2 linked regions of the Lonchura striata genome follow. The protein of the gene in region 1 interacts with the protein of each later gene in a pairwise test. Links are inferred from orthologs where the notes say so. Each region holds a gene or a part of one and is shown in the gene's direction. Other genes may lie near its edges.

Region 1 (3,743 bases):
TCTTCTCCGAGGAAAGGCTGGAAGAATTTGCGTTATTCAGCCTGGAGAAGGTTCCAGGGTGACATTATTCAGGACTTTCTGTACCTGAAGGGGTCCTACAAGAAAGCTGGAGAGGGACTTTTTACAAGGCAATACAATTCTAGGGATAGAACAAGAGGAATGGCTTCAAAATGACAGAAGGCAGATTTAGATTAGATGTAAGGATGAAATTATTTCCTGTGAGGGTGCTGAGGCACTGACACAGGTTGCCTGGCAAAACTGTGGATGCCCCATCCCTGGATGTGTTCAAGGCCAGCCTGGATGGTCTTTAAAGTCCCTTTCAACTCAAGCTGATCTGTGATTCAAATTTCTGCAGCACAAAGAAGGCTGCCTTTGTTCCAGGGGGTAGCACTCTTTATCTTAAACCTTCTCCACAATGCTGGTCCCGTTGGCTCCGGCCTCGGGACACGCAGAATCACAGAGCTGTTGGGTTTGGGAAGGACCTCTGGCGACCATCCAGTCCAACTCCCTGCCAAGGCAGGGTCACTTGGAGCAGATGACACAGAACTCGTGCAGGTGGGTTTTGAAGGTCTCCAGCAGAAGCTGCTCCGGGTGGAGCTCCGCCGAGCAGCCCCAAAGACGAAACCTCGGGGAGCCGCTGCCTGGGGAGAAGCGCCAGCCAAGCTCCGGCGGCTCGGGGCCGTTCGGCCGCCGCTGGCTGGGCCCGGGGAGGCTTCTGGCCCCCTCGACTGCTCCCGCTGAGGCCTCCCGGGCGCGGGGACCGCCCGCAGCCCTGCCCGGTCACCCTGCGGCGCCGCCACCGCGGCCACGTCAGGCCCAACCACAGCGGCCCCGCGACCGCCGCGCACCCACCCTTGAATAGAAGAGCGCCGCCTGATTGGTCAGGAGCGCTGTCATTCCTGCGCCAGAAGGCGGGGCTAAGAGGGGACGGCAGCAGCTGATTGGTCGGCACGGCGGCGGGCGGCCGCTGGGGTTGGTTGCGCCGGGCAGTGGCGGGTGCGCGGGAGGGAGGGGCGGGGGGTCCCGAGGCTCCGCTGTCACCGCCGCGCTCCCGCCAGGCCCGGCCCAGCCCCGTCCGCCCGCCCGCGGCGCGGCAGGACCATGTCGGCCACGGACGAGCGGGCCAAGGAGATCCTCCGCGGCTTCAAGCTGTATCCTCCGTGCGCGGGGGCCGCGAGGCGCCGCGGGGGGCGCGGGGATCGCCGCCCCGCTGTGGCGAGGCCCCTGGGGCGGGAGGGAGGTTGCCATGGCAACGCGGTTCTCAATGGCGTCCGCGCTCCGGCGGTGACGGGAGGGTCCCTCGGGGCTGGGACCGGCCCTGGGCCGGCCGGGCCGGGGGGGCGGGGAAGGAGGCCTCGCGATGCCGGGGTCCCGTCCCTGCCTGCGGTGCCGCGGGTGAGGGGTCCCCGCGCCCAAAGTCCTGAGCCGGTGGGCGACCGCCGCCCCTCGGCCCCTGCCCGGCGCCGAGAGGGGCTGGGCGGCGGCGGCGGCCCCGGGCAGCCGGAGCCCCCCGCCCGCAGCGAGGACAGCTTACGGAGGGCAGGTGAAGTAGCTCTGCGCCTGGATCTGACCCCTTTCCCTCCGGCCTGCCCTTCAGCACCTCTGCTCGGAAGGGAGATACCTGGTCATCAGGTGCAGGAGCACCCAAGCACCTCGTTCCTTGTCATGCCGTGAGGTACTGGCACATGTGTTGGTCGTGCGGTGTCTTTTATTGCTGACGTATTCTGCGTGTAAATGCCTTTCTGTGCAGCTCGTTTAAAAACTTTTCATGTTGTGGCTTTCAAAAAGCGTTCTGATTTTATGCCTGTGGTACCTGGATGTGAATTTAAAGCTGATGAAATGAGATAGAGCTGAGCTTGGAACAGAGGCAAGTGCCTTTGTGCACCTTCCAACCCAGGATTTCAGCAAAGCAGAGAAAGGCTTGACCTAAAGGCCCATGTTCAAACTAAAGGTGTGAGAAATATTGTAGCTTTATTTTACATGTGGAATATTTTACTGAAGTAAATTCTTCTCAGCTTAGAAGGCAAATGCAAGATTGCTATCTTGATCTTTAGACATCAGAATATTGTTATAAGTTGGTTCTTTTTTTTTACAATAAAAAGGACAGAAGTGAAGGAAATATCCTCTTGATCGAAGCCTGTTATTTCTAAACAGGGTGGTGGGGTTTTTTGTTCTGTGAGATGTTCATAATCTCTATGCCAGCTGTAGCAGGATGTGATTTTTTAGGTTAGATTTAGACAGATAGCTTTTATTAAACTATAAGCCGATGCTTTTCTTAACTTTTTATCATTGCAGTCTCCTCCAGCTGTTAGTACTTCATCTGGTTCCTTTGCTTCTGCACTGGCACTATTGACAGTTCTTTGTATTTATGAAGATGTGGAATTTTAGCTGTCAAAAAATAAACTAAAAATCTTTTCTGCTGGCAATCAGAAGAATAAACTTCTCACAAGACCAGACTAAGCTGTTGGTAGAAGTGAGGAGTGCTTTGGAAGTTAAGCCTAGGGAGAAAACTTTTAAGTGCTTTTTGCATGTGTTTGTACATAGTATTTATTGGATAGCAGAATTTACATAAAGGCCTTTGCCCAACTCTGAATGAAATAATACTTTTTGTTGTTTGCCGTCTTAAAGAGAAAATGCATTTTGCTCTTTGAGAGGAAGGATGTCAGACAACAAATTATGATCTCAAGCAGCCATAGCATGGATAAGAAGTTTTATTAGAAGCACTCTGCAGTCTGTGTTGAAGCATCTCAAGTCTAGTCTTCCTTTGTTTGTCCTTGCAAAAAAAAAAATACTTCTGGCAGGACAGTTTAAGTTAAAATCTGGGGAGCTGCCACAGGGGCTGTGTAGTGCAAAGTCTGACAAACAGGAAAGTTTGGAGAAACATTTCATAACTGAAACTTTTAGCAAGTTGAAATAGTTGAGAAACATCTATGTTGCCTTTAGTAAGCCAGAAGAGAGGCTGAGCAGACATTCCTCATTTGTGGGGAAGCCTTGAGACACCACACCATCCCCACAGGAAACTGCTCATGCCCAGCTGTGGCCATGCTCCCTGCAAGGGAGACATCAGCTCAGACTTCCCTTCCCTTGTCCAAGGGCAGGCATCTGTTCCAGAGATAATTGCAGTTTAGAGATGCTTTATCTTCCAGCCACCCTATTGCTGCATGTACTCATTTAATTAATAGAAAGGAAGAGAGAAACGTGTTCTGAAAAACTGTTCAGTTTATACTTTGAGTATCTGAAAACTTTGTCCTCTGCTCCCACATGGGAAGGAGTTCAGCTTCACCAACTCAAGCAACTTTGGCACTTCAAACTGAAACTTGCTTTTGGCACAAGAGAGGAGCATGGCATTGCACCCAGGGGCAGTGTGTGAGGGATTCCTTGGGAGAGAAGAAGAGTTGCTAGGGCCAAAAGCATCACTGAGGAAGCAGGCTTCCAAAATAATCCCTAATTTTAACATGACAGCAGACACTTAAGCTGGAAGTCCAGTTCACATTGAGTAATCAGAGTTTCCTCAAACAATTCTGTTTCCTTGTGGTTCCTGAGAAGGGGTTAATTACAAGCTTTCCAACTCATTGGGGCACGCTGGATGATTGGGGTATGTGGAAATTAAATTATAGCCTAAATCCACCCTCTAATTTCAATGCAAAGATAGGTTTTCCTTCCTCTATGACACTAGTGCAGAAACATGTAGTGACTAATGTCCCAAAATCCAAGCCAGGAACATTTATTCCTTCTTCTCATGG
Region 2 (3,743 bases), on another chromosome or scaffold:
GTGGGGAAAAGCAGTTTGGGGGGCTCAGAGGGGTGGAGTTTGGAGCAGGGTCCCGGACCTGCAGGAAGCGAGTGAGCAGTTCCCGCTTGGCTTTGGCCGCCTCCTCCTCAGCCAGCGCTTGTCTCTGCAGGAGCAGCAGCTCGTCCTCGGCCGCCCTGGGGGCAGCGGGACGGAGCCCCGCCATGGCTGGAGAAGGGGACACGGCAGGAGGGGTCGGGGGATGCCCGGGGTCTGCCTGGTGGTCCCTCCAGAGCCCCCCCCCACCACCAAGGCCTGACCCCCTCCCCTCCAGCCCCCCGCACTATGGGGTACCCCACACCCCATAACCTTCTGCCCACCCCCGTCTCCCTCCCCAGGCTCCCTCCCTTTCCTGTCCCCTCCACTTAGAGTACCCTCAGACCCCCTCAAGCCCTGCTCATCCCCTCTCCCCTTCCAGCCCTGTTTCCACTTCCCTCCCCAGGCCTCCCCCAAGGCCCATTCCCCGCTGCCCATCTCCAGAGCCCTCCCAGCTCACCCCCTCCCTCCCACGCTCTCCCAGCGCCCACTGCCCTTTGCCCAGCCCCACCTCCGCCTCTGGGGTCTCGCTCCCCGCTCTGGGCTCCCGGTCCCGGTCTCGGTCCCGGTGCCGCTCGCGTCCCTCCGGTCTCCCGGCAACGGCGGCGGGCGGAGCCTCGCGGCACTTCCGCCCCGCCCCGCACCGGCGCCCCCTGCCGGCCAAGAGCGCGCCCGCACCCCCTGCGGGGCGTGTCCCGCGAGCTCTGCCTCGCCGCTATTGGCCGGCGCTCCGGGATTCCCCGCGCTGATTGGCGAGCGGGCGCCGCCGTGGGCGGGCCCTGCAGCCGGCGGGGTATATAAGGGCGCTGCGGCGGCGGGGCGCAGGGCGGTGGGTGGGTGCGAGTGGGGGGGTTCACGCGCGCCGCCGCCGCCATGCGGGAGCGGAGGCCGGCGCCGGCCGCTCCGGCCCGGTGCAAGCTGGTGCTGGTGGGTGACGTGCAGTGCGGCAAGACGGCCATGCTGCAGGTGCTGGCCAAGGATTGTTACCCCGAGGTGAGCCCACAGCGGCACCGGGAACCGTGCAGCGGGCACCGGCAAGCGGGAACCGGGCGCTGACGCTCTCGGTGCCCCGTTGCAGACGTACGTGCCCACCGTGTTTGAGAACTACACGGCGTGCCTGGCCAGCGAGGAGCAGCGGGTGGAACTGAGCCTCTGGGACACCTCCGGTACCGGGGACAGACGCGCGCGGTGCACGTTTGAGGGGCTACCGGAGAAGTGGGGCGGGGGCTGCCCGACCCTGGCTCGGTTGTTTGCTGGGGAAGGTGGTTTGGGGTTTTTTGGGGGGGGGGTCACGGTCGGGATGCTGCAGTGAGCGGGGGGTCGCTGCGGTGGGGTGCTCTGGTGTCCCGAGGGTGTTTCGGGTGTCTCGGGGCCCTGCAGCGCGGCGGGGAGGGGCGCCGGTGGCCGTGGCGAGGTCTCGGGGGTGTTTTGGGGGTGTTTTGTGGTCCCTGGGGTGGGTTCAGGTCCGGGGTCATATCCGTGGCTGTGGGGAGCGCAGCTTCTCCCCAGGGACCGACCCCACGGTGATCCAGACACCCTGGGGGGGTCACAGGAGGCTGAGCCCCCCATGGTGTGAATTGAGCGGATTATGGGGTATCCCGGTGTTGCCCTTCCCGGGGCACCCCGAAGAGTTTCGGGGGGGGTCGGGGTAGCCCTGCCCGGTGCTGCAGTGTCCCCCCCGGTAGGGGGGGGTCCCCGCCGGTCCCCGGTTGCCATGGCGATGCGCTGGCGCAGCCTCTTTGCTATTCTGTGCACGGAGCGTCTGGGCTGCGAAACCCCTCCGAGGCTTTTGGGGGGCCGGGGGGGGACGGACGGGAGGGACATCCCGGAGCCCGCCACCCCCCTGACCCCTTCCCGCACCCTCCTTTCCCCCGCGCCGCGACCCCCGCGGTCCCCGGTGCGGTGCTGGTGGCTCCGTGTCCCCGAGGACCCCGAGGGGGTGGCAGCGTGTCCCACCCCCTCCTCCGGCTTCTCCCCCCCAACCCCGACACCCCTGGGTGCTGCCGGGGCTCCCCAAAACGGGGGGCGGGGGGGATGTTACATAAACACCGCGGGCTCCATTTCCCGCTGCCTCGCCAAGGCGCGATGCAGCTGATGGGCTGCGGGGACGGAGGTGGCGTTTTGGGGGGGTTCCAGAGCTGTGCCCCTCTCCCCGGCCCCAGGGGGGCTGTGTCCCTTTTGGGGGGCTCTGGAGCTGTGTCCCTACGTCCCTCTTGCTGTGTTTGTTTTGGGGGTCTCTGCCTTTTGGGGGGCTCTAGAGCTGTGTGTCCGTCTGTGCCTTTTGGGGGGCTGTGTCTGTTTTGGGGGGCTCTAGAGCTGTGTGTCCCTCTGTCCCTTTTGGGGGGCTGTGTCCTTTTTGGGGGGCTCTGGAGCTGTGTGTCCCTATGTCCTTCTTGGGGTTCTCTAGAGCTGTGAGCCACCACCCTGAACAGGAGGGGAGCTGTGTTTGTTTTGGGGGTGTCTGTGCCTTTTGGGGGGCTCTAGAGCTGTGTGTCCCTCTGTCCCTTTTGGGGCACTGTGTTTGTTTTTTGGGGCTCTAAAGCTGTGTGTCCCTCTGTCCCTTTTGGGGTGCTGTGTTTGTTTTGGGGGGGCTCTGTGCCTTTTGGGGGGCTCTAGAGCTCGGTGCACACACTTCAGGCATGAATAGGATTTGTCTTTTTTAAGGGAGTCTAGACCGGTGTCCCCCCTGTCCCTTTTGAGATTCTGTGTCTGTTTTGGGGGGCTCTAGAGTTGTGCTCCCCTGTCCCTTTTGGGGTTCTCCCAAACTGTGAACCCTCATGCTGGGCAGGAGTGAGGCTGTGTCTATTTTGGGGGGCTCTGTCTTTTTTTGGGGAGGGGCTCCAAGGCGGTGCACGCCACCTCAGGCAGGAGGTGGCTTCGTGTCTCTTGAGGGGCTGTGTCCCTTTTGGGGGCTCTGGAGCTGTGTGTCCCTCTGTCCCTTTTGGGGGTCTCTGTCCCTTTTGGGGGTCTCTGTCCCTTTTGGGGAGCTGTCCCTTTTGGGGGTCTCTAGAGCCGTGCCCTCACCCCGGGCAGGACCGGGGTCTCTGTCCCTTTTGGGGGTCTCTAGAGCTGTGTGTCCCTCTGTCCCTTTTGGGGGGCTGTGTCCCATTTGAGGGGCCGTGTCCCTTAGCCAGACCCCCTTTCCCATGTCCCTGGGGTGGGGGGGCTGAGCTGTGACCCCCCCAATTTTCCCCCAGGCTCTCCCTACTATGACAACGTGAGGCCCCTGTGCTACAGCGACTCGGACGCCGTCCTGCTCTGCTTCGACGTCAGCCGCCCCGAGACCCTCGACAGTGCGGCCAAGAAGGTGGGGAGGGGGCTCAGGCCCCGGGACAGTGTCCCCGTGGGGTTTGGGGGGCTCAGAGATGTGGGGACACCACCCTGAGGTGTCCCCGTGGGGTTTGGGGGGCTCAGAGATGTGAGGACATCAATGCAGGGGGATCTCTGTGGGGTTTTGGGTGCTCAGAGATGTGGGGACACCACCCCGAGGTGTCCCCGTGGGGTTTGGGGGGCTCCGAGATGGGAGGACACCAATGCAGGGGGATCTCTGTGGGGTTTGGGGGTTCAGGGCTGTCAGGACACTGTCCTGGGGGGTGCCTCTGTGGGGAGAGGTTTTTGGGGTTGCCCTGAGAGCAGCTGTGTGCCTCGACCCCTCAGTGGAAGACGGAAATTTTGGATTATTGCCCCAA

What was found.
Region 2: the proteins of PDE6D (region 1) and RND1 interact in a two-hybrid assay, tested with the Homo sapiens proteins (2 studies listed by BioGRID). The link is inferred for Lonchura striata from reciprocal best matches to the Homo sapiens genes PDE6D and RND1.

Annotation. Positions count from the first base shown.
Region 1 is NC_134612.1:18,215,603-18,219,345, reverse strand, and holds the start of PDE6D (retinal rod rhodopsin-sensitive cGMP 3',5'-cyclic phosphodiesterase subunit delta), read left to right. Parts: upstream 1-1,008; 5' UTR 1,009-1,101; coding exon 1,102-1,151; intron 1,152-3,743. UniProt on the Homo sapiens protein: Promotes the release of prenylated target proteins from cellular membranes. Modulates the activity of prenylated or palmitoylated Ras family members by regulating their subcellular location.
Region 2 is NC_134629.1:6,084,699-6,088,441, forward strand, and holds the start of RND1 (rho-related GTP-binding protein Rho6), read left to right. Parts: upstream 1-889; 5' UTR 890-927; coding exon 928-1,047; intron 1,048-1,132; coding exon 1,133-1,220; intron 1,221-3,251; coding exon 3,252-3,361; intron 3,362-3,711; coding exon 3,712-3,743. UniProt on the Homo sapiens protein: Lacks intrinsic GTPase activity. Has a low affinity for GDP, and constitutively binds GTP. Controls rearrangements of the actin cytoskeleton. Induces the Rac-dependent neuritic process formation in part by disruption of the cortical actin filaments.